Oreochromis niloticus: one gene and its partner. The protein of the gene in region 1 purifies or fractionates together with the protein of each later gene. This does not show direct contact. Links are inferred from orthologs where the notes say so. Each region holds a gene or a part of one and is shown in the gene's direction. Other genes may lie near its edges. The genes, in order: pex1 and pex26.

The links.
Region 2: the proteins of pex1 (region 1) and pex26 purify together in Homo sapiens (affinity purification with western blotting; 3 studies listed by BioGRID and IntAct, with this or other methods). This does not show direct contact. The link is inferred for Oreochromis niloticus from reciprocal best matches to the Homo sapiens genes PEX1 and PEX26.

Annotation. Positions count from the first base shown.
Region 1 is NC_031985.2:22,584,438-22,592,453, forward strand, and holds the start of pex1 (peroxisomal ATPase PEX1), read left to right. Parts: upstream 1-4,972; 5' UTR 4,973-5,104; coding exon 5,105-5,212; intron 5,213-6,402; coding exon 6,403-6,549; intron 6,550-6,649; coding exon 6,650-6,733; intron 6,734-6,884; coding exon 6,885-6,999; intron 7,000-7,150; coding exon 7,151-7,836; intron 7,837-7,951; coding exon 7,952-8,016. Other genes in the region: clxn (calaxin), read left to right, coding at 1,247-1,322, 1,523-1,681, 2,315-2,419, 2,522-2,673, 2,808-2,912, 3,000-3,050; rbm48 (RNA-binding protein 48), read right to left, coding at 3,168-3,230, 3,327-3,856, 4,055-4,200, 4,283-4,473, 4,724-4,852. UniProt on the Homo sapiens protein: Component of the PEX1-PEX6 AAA ATPase complex, a protein dislocase complex that mediates the ATP-dependent extraction of the PEX5 receptor from peroxisomal membranes, an essential step for PEX5 recycling.
Region 2 is NC_031981.2:14,339,923-14,347,399, reverse strand, and holds the start of pex26 (peroxisome assembly protein 26), read left to right. Parts: upstream 1-4,251; 5' UTR 4,252-4,318; exon of another isoform or gene 4,319-4,405; 5' UTR 4,406-4,419; coding exon 4,420-4,592; intron 4,593-4,678; coding exon 4,679-4,816; intron 4,817-6,033; coding exon 6,034-6,359; intron 6,360-6,460; coding exon 6,461-6,601; intron 6,602-6,705; coding exon 6,706-6,818; 3' UTR 6,819-7,477. Other genes in the region: hcls1 (src substrate protein p85-like), read left to right, coding at 10-78, 310-446; llph (protein LLP homolog), read right to left, coding at 2,454-2,617, 2,809-3,025. UniProt on the Homo sapiens protein: Peroxisomal docking factor that anchors PEX1 and PEX6 to peroxisome membranes. PEX26 is therefore required for the formation of the PEX1-PEX6 AAA ATPase complex, a complex that mediates the extraction of the PEX5 receptor from peroxisomal membrane.

The DNA of each region.
Region 1 (8,016 bases):
AAAAGTAAATTGAAGTAAATAAAAAAATGCAGTTTTTAAATGATTTCATCCATTCAAGGGAAAAAGTTCCCCCCAGTTAAATCATGAATTCACTTTAACCACATCACAGACCTGTTGAATCAAGAAATGACATAGTAATAGAACCTATCACACAAAGTGAAGTGGATTAAAAGTTTTCAAAAAGTAACACATCATGCCTCTAAAGAAACTGCTGGGAAACAAAGTCGCTGACATCTGTCAGACTGGAAAGGGCAACAAAGCCATTTCTAGTGCTTTGGGACTCCAGCCATTATCAACAAACTGAGAAAACAATGTTAAATCTTGCCAGGAGTGGCCGGCCCTCCAAAATTACTCCAAGAACACATTAACGACTCATCCAATGACCATCAAACAATCATCTCTAGCTGCCTTGCTGCTTTGTCTCAAACTTAAATGTGACCCAAAAAAAAAAAAAAACCCCATCAGGAATGGGGCACTCTATATTGGAAAATGCCTTGCAAGCATGCTACAATCTGGAAAAACAAGTACATTTTATATGAGAAAGTCATTTTTAAAAGAAGATTGGGCTATAATACGTTAAATGAATGATTAATATTATGAGATATATGCATTTAAATTTTACTTAATTCGGATTGCATATATGAAATATATATATTTGGACTAGTAGCTTTGATGAATCTGACTATTACTATTGCACTATTCTTCCATAACACCCACATTTTCTTTTCTTTTTCTCAAACACCAAGATACCTTAGATGGTAAATATAAATTTTAGCAAAGCTTTAATTAGGTTCCTGAAGTGACTAAAAGTAAACATTTCTTTCCCCAAAACTGTATAATAAACATAAACAGTATATAGCCGCCCTCTTTCTGATGTGTGATTTTGGTCTGATGATGGGTTAAAAAACTATTTTAACATGTTTCATGTGTACCTGTTCAGTATATAAATGAACGTGTTGACCTGAAGGACAATAAATAGCCCTAAAGAAAGGGTTTTTGGTCAGCCAGCGGTTCATTGTCATTCTAGTGGAACAGATACAGGACAGTCAGTGTTGGGACATATTTTCGTTTGTGTTACTGCACTAAAAATTCAAGTAGAAAATGATGTGTAGTTACGGTGTTTCCACCTGTAGTGAACCGTCGAGGTTCTTAAACACACGCGACCCTGAACGTTTCGCGGTAGCCATGGCGACAGTACATCAACTTCGCTGTGAGTGGACTGTAGCTGAGTTTGGCCCCATCGAAAATGTCAAAAATATCTGCTATGAACAAAAGGACGACACAGACGCTCGCTGAAAACATTTCGAAACAAGTGGAGCACTGTGAGTATGACAGTTAAACTTCTCAAATCAATAAACCCGGGATAAACTAAGCCAGCTTTGTCATAGCGGTAGTTTAGTGCAGTCCATGCTAAGCTTTACGGTTCATTGTTTTACTTAGCAGGTATGAAAATACACACTGCCGTCTAAGTATTGTTAGAGCAGATGAAGTGTACGCCATTGTTTTATGTTTCTGTTTATAGTCAGTAAAAAAGAGGTTGAGTGCCTTATCCGAGAGTTTAACGTGCTTATGGCGGAGCAGAACAACTCTGGCAGAGCTGTGCACGGTCTGGACCGAGGGAAGTTCATAAGCACACTCCACAGCATCTTTGGACTGACTGATGACAGGATGACGGGTAGAGGTATTCAGTTTACGGTTATTTATAATTATATTATTTATAAACCCATTTCCAAAAAAAAAAAAAAAAGGTGGGACGCTCTGTAAAATGTAAATTTGATCATTTTGAATTTGCATAAACTGTAGATGCAGTTTTTTGCAGATTGGCAAACCTTGGCCCATCTTTACTTTTGAGGAACTCTGCTTCTCCAAGATGCTTTAAAAAAAAAAAAAATCCATTCATGTCAGTGACCTTCTGCCAATTAACCTAAAGTTGCAAAATCTTCCTCCATCGTTTTTTTTTTTTTTAGTACCACTTAGTTTTGCACCCTACTGTTGCCCTCTCAGCTGTCTTGAGATATGTTGGTGCCATAAAATTCAAACAGAGCCAAGATTGTTTTTTGAAATAGTAAAATGTCAATAAAATGGTGAAGTAAGCAAAATCTCCAAATCATCACTATCACCCTGTAAGTACTCTCCAATTTGGCACAACCCAGAATTCTCACTTGCACCACCTCTTTCAGAATGATTAAATTAAATCCTTCAGTACGCTTGTCCAGGAGTACAGAGTTGGGAATGAGCAATTTCTTCAGTACGAACAATTGAAATCTATAATTAAATCCAAGACATGTTGTGAGTGTAACTGGCTGTCATTCAGTCTTCAGGACCTTTGACAAAGACAACGACAGCGTTGTCAGCATGAAAGAGTGGATCGACGGACTGTCTGTCTTTCTTCGGGGGACCTTGGATGAAAAAATAAAATGTAACTTCTCAATCTTACTTTTTTTTGCTTAAGCTCACTCTCACACCTTCACACATGTAGCTTTATCTACCTAAAAAAATCCCTGTGTTTGGCATGGCTCAGACTGCTTCACTGTGTACGACCTGAATGGTGACAACGCCATCTCTAGAGAGGAGATGCTTCATATGCTGAAGGGCAGGCTCATCAGACAACCCAATGAGGAGGACCCTGACGAAGGAATCAAAGACCTGGTGGAGATCATACTGAAGAAGATGGTGAGCTGTTTGCTGCACAGATATAACTGTTTACACATGATTTAAAAACAAAAAACAAACCCAAAACACTATTTAAAAAATTCTTAGGTCTGTAAATAGTTTACCAGCTCTGCCAACGGTGCTTCCTCCCACAGGACTATGACCATGATGGCAAATTGTCTTTTGAAGATTTTGAAAAGGCTGTGAAAGATGAAAACCTATTGCTGGAAGCTTTTGGAACCTGCCTTCCTGACTTCAGGGTAATCTGTAATGAGAAGCTTCTAAGCTCTTTAAATTTCCCCATCAAAAATTCTCAATCTTACAGTCTGCTTTTCTTATTTTTTCAGAGAATCGAGATGTTTGAGGGACGCGTATTTCAGGAACAAATGGAACAATAAACAAATCACATAACTCCATACCCAGCCTAAACATCTTTAATATTAACCTCAATGGCAGATGGTCCTGTGATGCAAAATTTTTTAATAAAAAATAAATAAATAAAAAGTCCTGCTCTATCAAATCCGACGGCGTGGTTTGACCTTCTTCTCCACTGGTTTGATGTCTGGACTCGATGTCACCTAGGAGAGACGATGAAACTGGTTTAACTGATTTAGATCATAGTGAAAATATTATTTTGTCCTTAACTACAACCAAAACAATATAATCACATGTACCTGCTTCATTGTGTTCCTGATCAGGCTGACAGTTGTGTTCAGTGACTCATCCTCCATGTCCAGTTTGGATGGTTCTGGTAGTTTTGGTCCAATCAAAGGCTCATTCTGCCCAGAAACAGTACTGGAGGGCTCCTCAGCCTCTTCCATTTTGCGTTTCCGTTTCTCCAAGTGTGTGGTCCGAGGAAGAAATCTGACTGCCGCAGCCTGATGTGCTGCCTGTCTGCTCAATAAGGTCTGTTTGCTCCTTGAACTCCCTTCTCGCTGCTCGAATGTGCCAGCACAGGTATTGTGTAAAGTCCCCATTTTATCCTCTGTCGGTAAATGTTGACTTTTAGGCCTATGGTAATGATGTTTTTGGGGAGGTAATGGCAGTGGAGGAAAGCCTAAATAGTGGCTGACGTTTGAAGTCTCCCTTGTATTGTCATTTCCAGAGGTCTGTTTGTGTGTGAGGATGTTGTCATCTGACATGGTAGTTGTTTCTGATGAAGAAGGCTCCTCTTGTGTGTCCTCTTTCTGTTCCCTTTCTCTCACTTTGCAATAATAAAATGAGACAGAAAAAAAAGTTTAGAAATCCCCATCATTCAAAAAGATCCGAGTCAAATTAAAATAAAAGTGCAAAAGGGAAATGGTGGAAATTGTTTGCTTGGACTAATGAGGAACTAAGATGTTTCTCATTGGAGTGGTCGTTTTTGTGAGGCAAAATATAACCTATAGATATAAAATTATACCTCTCTTCTGAGCAGCCCGGATGACATAGCTCCTCCGGTCCTGCAGCTTGAGCCTGGTGTCTTCCACAGTCTCGTATTCGGGGACGTAGCACACATGCAGCACACCACCATAGAAACTTTTCTCATCCATGCGTCGCTTTGCTGCTCTGAAACAAAACCAAATTATTCAGAAGGTCCTTCAGACTTTGCAAGTTAGGCATAATGAACAGTCTAAGTTACATCTTGTACCTGGCACTTGTGAGTTTTTGGAACTTTACGAGGTAGACCTCTGTGAACTCCTCGGCAGGATACTCGTCCAGGGGCCTGTACTCCTCCACAGCTCCATAAAGGGCACACAGCTGAATCAACTCAGTCATAACCCCAATCGCTGGGACTCCTTGGACCATCAGGTAACGACTCTCTAAATTTATGGTGTAAACCTGCAAATAATGCAACACTTGACTGCGGTACACTGATGGAAAAATGCTCATGTGAAAACTGCGAATAGTGGTTATATTTATCATCTAGATGTGGTCAAGGCTCTCACTGTGGTTCACTGGAGTCCATAAAATCCGGGAGCAGATGTTTTTTAACAACACTGTAAGTGGCGTTCCCACGTAGCAGGGGGTGTCTCACACCTTAAGATACGCTCTTTTGGTCAAATATTTCTAAACAGAAGCGTCTTCTTACCTTAACTGCTTTGGCTTTTCTTCCTTCCCTATATTTTGGTCGAGAAATGCACACTCTCCGCTGTTCGTGATGTTTGTAAACCTCCGGGACTCTCCAACAGCCAGAGCTGTTGTTGACGGGAGCCGCCATGTTTGTGGAAATGAACTTTTCACTTGATGCATTTCAAAATAAAGGTTCATTTTCATGTTGAATAGGATTCATTCAAAGCATGGCGTCGTTGGATGTCTTATTCTGAAATGCGTTCAACCGAATATCGGCTACTCTGGTCTGGCCTGGCCCACACAGAGCACATCGATCGACTATGAGTTTGTCACACACTTGATGTTAGCGGTGCAGCTTGCTTGACGCGTTGAACGCGAAATAGAAAACTATGTGAAAATCATGTTTAGCAATCAGGGCATTCAACCCGTAACGGTCACTTTTAACAACGCAAAAAACTGCTTTTTACACCTTCCCTTGAAGCTAATATCACAGCTTTCCCTGAACGAGGTAAGATAGCCTAGCTAACCACCTAGCACTATCGTTTAGGTAAAATTAGTAGAAGCTTTGTTGACTTAAACCATTTTTAGCTAAAATGTTGGCCCGTTCTGTGTGTTGTTCTATTCTTTTATTTTTTAACAAAATTAATGCTGCTGTAAATTAATTTTCGAGACCCTTTGACAGTTATTCACATTACAAAATAAAATGTGACTTCAGCCTCGCGTCAGGCTGCTCTTTAGACCAAATGAATTTGAAAGATCAGTTTTTCATGACTCCATTCACTCCACTTCGGCCCGGCTGGAAACATGCTCTGAATATAGATAGAAGAGGAGCTGAGTCAAACACAATACTTCAGCATATGGAGAGAGAGGGTAGTTAGCAATTGGTATTTCAGTATTTGTTTCCTTCTCGGTGGAGCTGTTTTCGTAGCAGTTCCTTTACGGTTTCACTTGGTGGAGGCAAAGGACTGTGTTAGAAATGAATCCGGGGTCTAAGGGTATTTTTTAAATGACTTTTCTAGCTTGTGTCCTGTTCGCTGTTATGAATGAACAGTGGTTTTCTGATGAGAGCTTTCTGTTTATATTTGCACTTTTTTGGCTGACAGGAATTCCTGTTTCGTGGCTTTCTCTCCTTGAGTTTGACCTTTAATTACAAAGGATTCAGAACTGGGTTAACCCTGTCATTATTAGTCTAAACTGTGTAAAATGGATTGAGTGAGGAGGATTTGTTTTCTCAAGCATGGTTGCAAGCAAGGATGATGGTCATGGTATAGTCTGGGTAAACAAAAGGTGCTTCAGCAAACATGCAGTCATGTGAAAAACAAAGTACACCCCTTGATTCAGTAAAGTTGGTACAACCACCTTTAGCAGCACTAAATTGAAGTAACCATTTTATTTATGTCTTTATTAGTGTCTCGCAGTGTTGTGGAGAAACTTTGTCCCACTCTACTTCACAGTGTTTGCATGAATTTTTTTATGCACAGCTCTCTTTAGACCCTGCATTTCAATCAGGCTGAGGTCTGGACTTTGACTGGGCCATTGCAACACACTGATTCCTTTCCTTTACAGCCACTCTGTTGTAGATTTGCTGCTCTAATTTGGGGTCATTGCCAAGTTGCATGGGATGCAACTTGGCAATGACTTTAGAATACTTTTGTATACAGTGGCATTCACAGTCAACCCATTTACGGTCTTTTTCAGAACCAGCCTCTGGAGTTGTCCTGTGGTCATGGGCCTCCAGTGTTCCTCACCTGGACTCAAAACAGAGCCAGCTCTAGCCTGGACAGCCACAAAGTGGAGCTGTGTCGGCAGCTAGGAGAGAAGCAGGGCCTGACAGATGGAGAGCAGGTAGAGTCCCTCCGTGAGGAATCTGTTCTTCGCTGTATTTACAGAAGAAGCTAATTTTGGACTTACTAGTTGTTTGGTTTACTGGCTTGTTTTCCCTCAGGGCTTCTTAAGGCCATGTCATCAGGTCTCATCATTGGATCGGGTGTTTGTGGAGCCTGTATCAGCTGATGACTGGGAAATCCTGGTGGGTAATTTAGTTACATACAGTGTGTGAAACTTGTCTTCATACAATTTGCACTATTTTACACACTCTAATAACTACAAGGTGACTTCTCCTTTTTAAAGCACTCTTAAGAAGTATTAATATATCACTTTTGTGTGACTGACATCGCCAGGAGCTCCACAGTTCTGCACTGGAGCTGCAACTACTGGATCAGATCAGAGTAGTTTTCCAAGATGCCGTGTTTCCTGTGTGGGTGGACAACCACACGGTAATCTTTATCCGAATAGGTCAGTTTTGATACAATTATTCTGTTATATGTTGTTTATCAAATAACATGTTACACAGAAATATTGCAGTTATAATGGTTTGCCTGCTCAACTTCATTTTTAAATGTTTGACTTATATAATACAGTTTAATTTTTTTTAAATTCTGCACAGCTTCACTTTCTCCACGTGTGCCCTACGGTCGCCTGGAGCAGTTCACAGAACTTGTTGTGTCCCCGAAGATCCGCGCAGAAACTGGCACCCACACACATTCTCAACTAAAAGCCAACCCAAACTCAGAAAGTTTTCACAGACAGCCAAACATGGATTTCTCCTCCCCTTCAGGACCATCATCAGAAAGTACCTCCTCCACCTCTAACAGCCACCAGTGGGGTGGCATAGCAGACCTGAAAAGCCTTTTTCATCACATGATAAAGGGCGCTTATGACCCAGTTAAGGAACAACCGCCTTTACCTGAAATCCCCGCTCTCCTTACGGACTCTCTGTACAGAGTGTGCGGTTCACCTCCCCACTCTCTCAGCACTATAAGCCACGTTGCAACTAATGCTATTCACATCTTTCCTTGGAGCCACAGTTTCAATGCCAGGCTGAGTGAAGGTCACTCCTCAATTACATATGGCCTTCTCTCCAAAGTCCCATCCCCCAAAGAAATGAGGGACAGAACCAAGCAGGCAATGGAGAAAAAGAAGAAGCCAAGAGTTACTAAGGAGACTGCTACACCTGAAGGAGAGGAGGTGAAGGAAGAGGAGGCCATGGTGGTTAGGGCAGTGTGCCATTGTACCGAGCTGTTTGGATGCAAGGAAAGAAGCAAGGGAGAGATTCACAGTGGAAGAGTATGGGTGAGTATGGTGTCTGAAGAGGAGAATATATAGTTTATAAACAGTATTTTAGCTATACCGCAGTGCCCTAGTTCTTTCTGTTTTGGTTAAAATTTTTGTATCTTTCATTTTTTAGATTCCAGAGCCTCTGGCCAGCAGGCTGAATATCCCTGCCCATTCAACAGTAAGAATTAAGTCAGT
Region 2 (7,477 bases), on another chromosome or scaffold:
ATCTCCCAGCTGACGATAACGACTATGAAGACCTGACATGTGGCCAGAAGGCAATTGCAATTTATGACTATCAGGGAGGTAAGACTCTCCATTTTCTATGTTTCATGATAAATGTGACCTTGTGCACATATAAATGTCACACCTACACATTCAGTACTCATTGTGGAATAGCTGATCTGGGCTACTTTGGTTTGCCTTGTTTACACACTGAAAGGGGATCGTGAGCACAGGTGTTCCTTTGGCCTTTGACGCGGTGACACAAGTGCTTAAATGTGAGGATAAATCCTTTGCTTTTCTTTTTTCACACAGAGGCCGATGACGAGATCTCCTTCAATCCAGACGACATAATCCACAACATAGAGATGATTGATGAGGGCTGGTGGAAGGGACAGTGTCACGGACGTACCGGTCTGTTCCCGGCTGCTTACGTTCAGCTGATCGAGTGAGCAACACGCTCCCAAAGTCTATTTTTGCACAAGCTTCACTTAAACAAACTTCAATATTGTTGAACAGAGGGAGGAATTTGTATTTAACAATCAAATCAGAGCAAATTTTTTAAATCAGTTGATTTGTGTAATATTTCGCTTTGAATGTGCCGACTGGAAAAGCATCAGGCCAATCCTGATCAGAAGCAAACATGTACACCTCTGCAAGGAACTGAGGGTATATGACCTTATTCTTCATTTCTTTCACTGGATTTTTATTTACCAATGTAATCACAGTCATGACCTGAAATGGCTCTGCTATTCTAATAAAATCCTCCTGGCAACCTGTGTTTTGTCTTTCCTCTGATGCGGTTACACTGACCTAAAAACACTGTTTTGTGGAGCACCAGCTGATCATTTTAGCCATCGCCATCTTGGTGTTTGGACACAGTGATAAGTGAGGTGATAATTAATCCTTAAACATGTAACGACTCTGCAGCGGGCTATGCATGATTTCTTGCGCACTTAAACGTTGCATGTTCATCAGTATAACACCATGTTTATGTTAGTATTACAAAAAAAGGGAGGCATTATGAAGTGTGGGAAGGAAAATCCTTAATATGTATTCTACTGTGAAACAGTAGCTTCAAAGCTATGCAGGCCAAGTCATCTTCTCTATGCACAGCCACAAACCATAATGGCTGGAGAACATGCGTTTCATTATTCTACCCATGTTTACAAAATTAAATTATAAGAAGCCAACATTGATAATAAAACATTTTGTCTAACCCTAAACAGTAAAAGTAGAAAACCCTCGCAAAAAGATTAGGCCAGTATCACGTTAACTATGGCCAAGCACCGGCATTAAACAGGTTACTTTATTGTGCAGCGGTTTAGGCAGTTACCTGACAGGTGAAACAGAGCTATAACTGGGGAGACACAGGTCTGGCCTTTTATGATATACCTCCATAGCAGCCACTGCTGCACAGATATAGCAAAAATAAATCACCAGATGATAGACATAGCCTATGATGCACATTTTAAGAAATGTTAACGTTTTCCTTTTCAATATATTGTACGAGCCGGACCTTCTTGTAATTTTTTTAAAAGTGCTTGACTTCGGCTGCTTTTTTTTAAACTCATTTTCAGCCCAGTCATTGTACCCGACCATTTCAGAGGAATATTTGTTTGATTGTTGAAACGCTTAACACTGACCTATGAATCATTCAAGCGTAAAACCCCCCCCCACCTAACTCAAGATATGTGTATACACATAACAGACAACTTAGCAATGAACTAATTTTAAGTTGTGTTTACTAGTCTGTCACCAAAAACATCATTTATTGTCATTTCTTTAGTTGAATGTATGAAAAACACCAAAGATAACACAGTGTGAGGGGCTTGAAATAGGAGTTTTGCACCAACGAGGTGATTGTCGGCATATCTTGGCATGTTGTGCATGCAGTGTGTCCATAAAAAGAGGAAACCGGACAAGTACACGATAAAAGCGGCACCATCACATCTGCATCCACCATGCACTTTTGCACTGTTCTGTAATTGTAAAGAATGTGCATAATGAATTAAAGTTATGACAAACAACAATTGAAATTATAAATCATATTAAAATACTAATAATTCTGTTTTTTTGACACACCTCCAGGAGTTGCATGATGTCAAGAAAATGAACAGAACAAATCATAGGACAGATTTTTTTATGGGAGTTTAGAGACTTAACTTGCGGCAGAGAATACACGTGCACCACTCACATTTCTGCAGTCAGACGCACTACACACACGTTTTCCGTGCGCTGATCTCAAGTCAGAGAGGGTTTTGCTGTTCCATGAGAACAAACCAGTTTCTGCAGTGAACTTTTGTACGATCTCAGGCTCTGTGGCAAAGCCCGGGAATCTTCAAATCCACCAGACACAATGAAATTTAATTAAGAAACACAACACTTATCACAAAAGGATGCTGTGTTTCAGCTTCCAGAGTCTTATAGCTAAAATGACGGTCTTCCCGTTTGGTGGTTTACCAGGCAACATTCTTCTTCTTCTTGCCCTTGCCACCTTTCTTTCCCAATCGTTTGCCCCTCATTTTCTTGGCCTGCCGCTGGCTCATCCACGCCGGATACTGTCCATGTTCATCCAGAAGAGTTTTCTTGTTGCGCTTGCTGTCCATGTCCATCTTCCCATCTGAAACACAGACACACAGCAGTGAGGACGGCTTCAACATGCTCACAAGCGGTTTCCTCATGTTTGCAAACGATACATGTGGCACAGAAAAATGTGTGACATCACCTCGAAATTTAAAAAAACAAAAAACCCCCCCAAAAAATCAAAACAACAACTATTAAGGCTGCTGACTGTGGTGCTCACTGTCTTACCATCAGGTTCTGCCTCCTCCATGTTAACGTCGGCCTGCTTCTTTATCTTCTCAGCTGGCACCACTGTGGCGATCTCCTGCATGTCAGTCATGACGACTTCTCCTTTCTTATCAAGGGTCAGAGCTTGTTTCAGACGATTCAGCTCCTTTGGAGCGTTCTTCTTCCTCTTCTCTGCCCGCATCTTTCGCTTCCATTTACTCCGAAGGCTTTTTGCCATTTTAAAGATGCTGCGAACACATTAACAAATCACCAGTCAAGCAAACTTGGGTTCACGAATTTTTAGGACTTTCACATGTATCCATACACCACGCAACAGTAAAAACAAGCGGTGAAGACAAATGGATGGTCTGAGGCGACATGTCTCGCCAATGACTGCCGATTTCTTCCACACTACCTGAGCTGAAGCCCAGGATTCAGGAGGATGTTTGGATTTTAATTAATCTATGATTTACTTTCAGGAACGTCAAGACGATGTATATCATTTAAATATGACACCTATTTGTGTAGGTAGAATGAAAAAAATCCATTTATAACGTTTTTTTAGTAATACTACTAACAAAACAAAAAAACAATGAAAATAAACTGTGCAACATCTTTACAAACTAACTAATAAAGTTAAATAAACCTGGGAGAGAAGTCTAAATAAAACTGATCACGCATTCAGACTGTCTTCTTCTACACCTCTATAAACATTGAGCTGGTCTCTAGTACCCAACACTGATATTAAAAATATTAAAAAAATCCCAGCAGATCAGCATCTTCTTAAACACTCAGACCAACAACTATGCCGCATTCAAACTCACCTACATCACCTTTCTTTCACATTTCACTAAATCCACCGAGTTGCTGCCGCGTGACTGGCTGAATCGTAAACAGATGTACCTTACAAAGTGGCCGACGCGTGCAGTACTACAATTTCCCTTCCATGATTAATAACGTAAACCTAAGGACTTTATAGGCAAGTTAGGATTAGCGAATCCACTGAGCTGTTAAACCTCAACAAAACGGGAATGAGCAGCTTCGGTAATAAACTTTAACGTTTGGTCTGTTGAACATTTACAGCACTAACATCATCAACATCATCATCATCATCATCATCCACCCCCCTCCAAAAAGAAATGGTAAAATGCTGTTAATTCCGTTTAGTTACACGATACTGGCCGTCACAATAAGCCTAGCAAGTTAGCTACCCAACTCCTAATGAGGCACCAGTCTTAAAAACACATAAAAATAGCCTCGTTCCCTCATTAAACTCATACAGGTGTAATCATTAATCCACTATATGACATACAAGTCTGACTTACTTCCCACAGAAGCAGCAGATGAGCTTCTTGACGCTTAAACTGTGTGAACAACACACTCTTCTACTCCGCACACGTGTTTAGAAGCTTGGGGAAAAAATGAATCACGTGCTTTGGAAAGAGCTGCAATATGATTGGCTGCCTCGGACATTCTGAAGACTGTGGCTTCTGATTGGACAGTGGACTAATACCAGGAAGCTAAACGGAAGGTAAACAAACCGTTGTGGAAAATTTCGTGCTTAGCTGCAAGCTAAAGTGCTTTAAACCCTTTGAGTGTTTGTTGGGTTTGTTTTAAGTTCATCCGGGAGTCATGAACAGCTTCCAGGCCGCCAGCCCTCCGCTCTCTGCTGCTGTGACCCAGATGTTCAACACGCTGGAGTCGGCTGCAGAACAAATGATGGTGCACAGAGACTTCCAAGCGGCTTTTGACACATGTCTCAGAGGTCTGGAGAGTCTCGATGGCCTGGAGCCCGAGGACAGCAGGTGAGGGTCCTGAAGCTTCACGCACATGTGTAACTGGAAGCTTGGATGTTTGTGTTATAACACAAACGTCTTTAATGTTCCTGCAGATGTGCAGAGCTCAAGGCTGGTTTCTGCATCTTAGGGATTCAGGCTCTGGCTGAGCTCAATCAGTGGCGTGATGTCCTCTGCTGGGTCCTGCAACAGTATGAGCAGGAGAAAATACCAGCGAAGATCATGCAGATGTGGTGAGGAAAGAGTTTCATTATCATTATCATTATTATTATTATTATTGTTGTTGTTATTGTTATTAGACACTGATCTATTGATCCCCAGCCTTTGGGCAGGTGGACACAATATGAAATAAAGTATAAAATACAAATCGTATTAGGGTTCAAATATGCAAATTCTCCAAGACATGTTTTTTCAATCAGCACATTTAATCCGCCATTAACTTAATCATGAATTAAAAATGAAAATAAAATTTAATTATTTGTTATGAGTGCTGTTATAATCAAACCTTATATTAATGACTTCAGCCTTTTTTGATAAAGAAATGTTTTTGTAGTAAATAAAAGACATCTGTTATCACAATTATTTAGGCTTAAATTAATAAATGTGTAAAATGACAGAGCAAGTTCCACTAGCTCATTGCCCAGACTGTCCCATAAATATAAAACTAGAAGTTTTGACTTGATGAGCCATATTTTTTTTTAATTATTTTTTTTACCTAGTGAGGTCACATTTGTGAAAGCCCACACTGTTGTACAAAGTGTAAGAAAAAGTGAACTTTTATTTATTACTCAATTGCTTTGATGAGGTCTGAATGGCTATGGAAGAGGTCTTTATCTGTAGGAAAAACTGTGAAGTCCAAAATGTATACCCTCCAAAGCTCTGCAGCAGGCAAAATTGGAGACTGTAATCCCAAATCTACTATGTCAGTGGGTAGGTCCAGTGAAAAATGGTTGGCTTTTTTAAATATTTGGACAACGACTGGAAATGGGTGATAAACTCAAAAAAAATCCTACATAAAAGTGACCTTTTCTAGTAACGAAACAGACATTTATCACACCCTGATATCCATAAATTTGGAGCCAAGGTTCCCAGATACTGTGCCAATACTTAGAAACTCTTTCCTATTTTAACCTCTGACTTCTGGGACTGATGATGACATGTGTGGTGCCTTCAGAATTAAAGACTGAAGGACAAGAGTGCAGGACAGCCAAAATAATTTATTTCTGCTAAAGGGGGTGATGTGTTTGTTTGTGTTTTACAAAGAATTGAGAGATATACATGATCACACAGTGGATTTTAAGTCAGACGATCAAGATATGACTCACATGTAGACTTTAAGCTTTAACATAAGGGGTTAAGAAAAGTATTGCATTAACTATTTAGGATTTTTTTTTCTTTAAAAAATTCAATAAAATTCTTACTAATGTGATTTTGTGTCTCATTTTGGCAGTATACTTCTTTACTCCAAGGTGGGTGAGCCTGCTGTAATGCAGGAGGTGACCAGAGCCTGGTTACACTACCCGTCCAACAGCAGGGCGACTAGCTTCAGGACCGTCGCAGAGCTGTACCTGCTGCATGTCCTTGTGCCGCTGAGAGAGGCAGACGAGGCTCGGGAGCTGATCAGAGGCGAGGTTTTTAGCAGCGCCTTCACAGAAGAACACAGACAGACAGCGCTGGATATCATAGAAGAAAAAGAGCGACAAAATCAAGACCCTCCTCTAAATCCCAGGATGAGTGGAAGCTCTGACGTCACTGAACATCCTGTCTCATCCCAAGGTCTGACACTTCAGCCTAAACCCTTATGAGATGCATTACGCCAAGCGGCCTAAAAAAGACTGAAACTGTTAACTGTTTGTGATTTTGCTTTTGTTCTGCAGGTACTTTAGTCCATAAACTTGAGGCTGTGATCAGGTTTTTATACCGAAAACTCCTGATGATTGGTTCTGGCTCATTCCCTTTCCGGAGAATCTTTCTGACTGCCATCCTCCTCTACATGCTCTTTTTTCGGATGGATCCAGGTTGGGTGAAATGTTCCTTAGTTCTACTGGTACATCATCATCTTTTAGAAGTTAAAATAAAAGTGACTGTAAATGCGTTTCTGTTGTGCTTTTTTTACCTGCAGCTCTCCCGTCTGCGTTCATGTGGATTTCGAAACTTCTGCAGCTGCTCAAACAGATGTGGAACGCCATGTTTGCACCCTATTATCAGGCAGTCACTCAGAGCAAAGGACTGTAGAGGACTGAATATGCTAGGTCTATCATTTTAAATGAATTCTCTAAGGACTGTTTGTAAGACAACATGGATGATATTCACGTCAGATCTATAAAACATTTAAAGCGTCCTCATTCCAGGAAAATAGCTTCTTTTTTTTTAAGCTGCAGACTCTTCAGCTCACATGACACAGCTTCCCATAAATTCTCCCCAGCTCCTCACTAATACATCCTTTGTTTGTCCATCTCAAAGCAACACATGAATCATCAAGAGTCTGATGTGTGTTTTTTTTTTTTTTCTTTTCCTTTTTTAAGTCTGGGAAGTGACTCACTGTTCTGGTTCAGAGTACCTAGAATGATGAGTAGGGGTAAGAAAACAGTTGCAATCAGTGTATCACTGTAGGAATCTGAAATTTGTTAAATGATTATAACAATAGTTATAATAGTCAGTTTAAGTTTTGTGTACTGCAATGTGCTGAGGTCCTGTGGCTGCAAAACAAGCCTAAACCATGACCCCTCTGCCACTGTGCATGACATGAGGTGTTTGTCCTGATATGCTGTGTCTGGTTGTCAACAAACATGGTGCTCTGCATTACAGCCAAACATTGCCACTTTGGTCTCGTCTCTCCAAAGGACATTTTTAGAAGTGTTGCACTTGACATGCTAACTGAGGCCGGTAGAGTC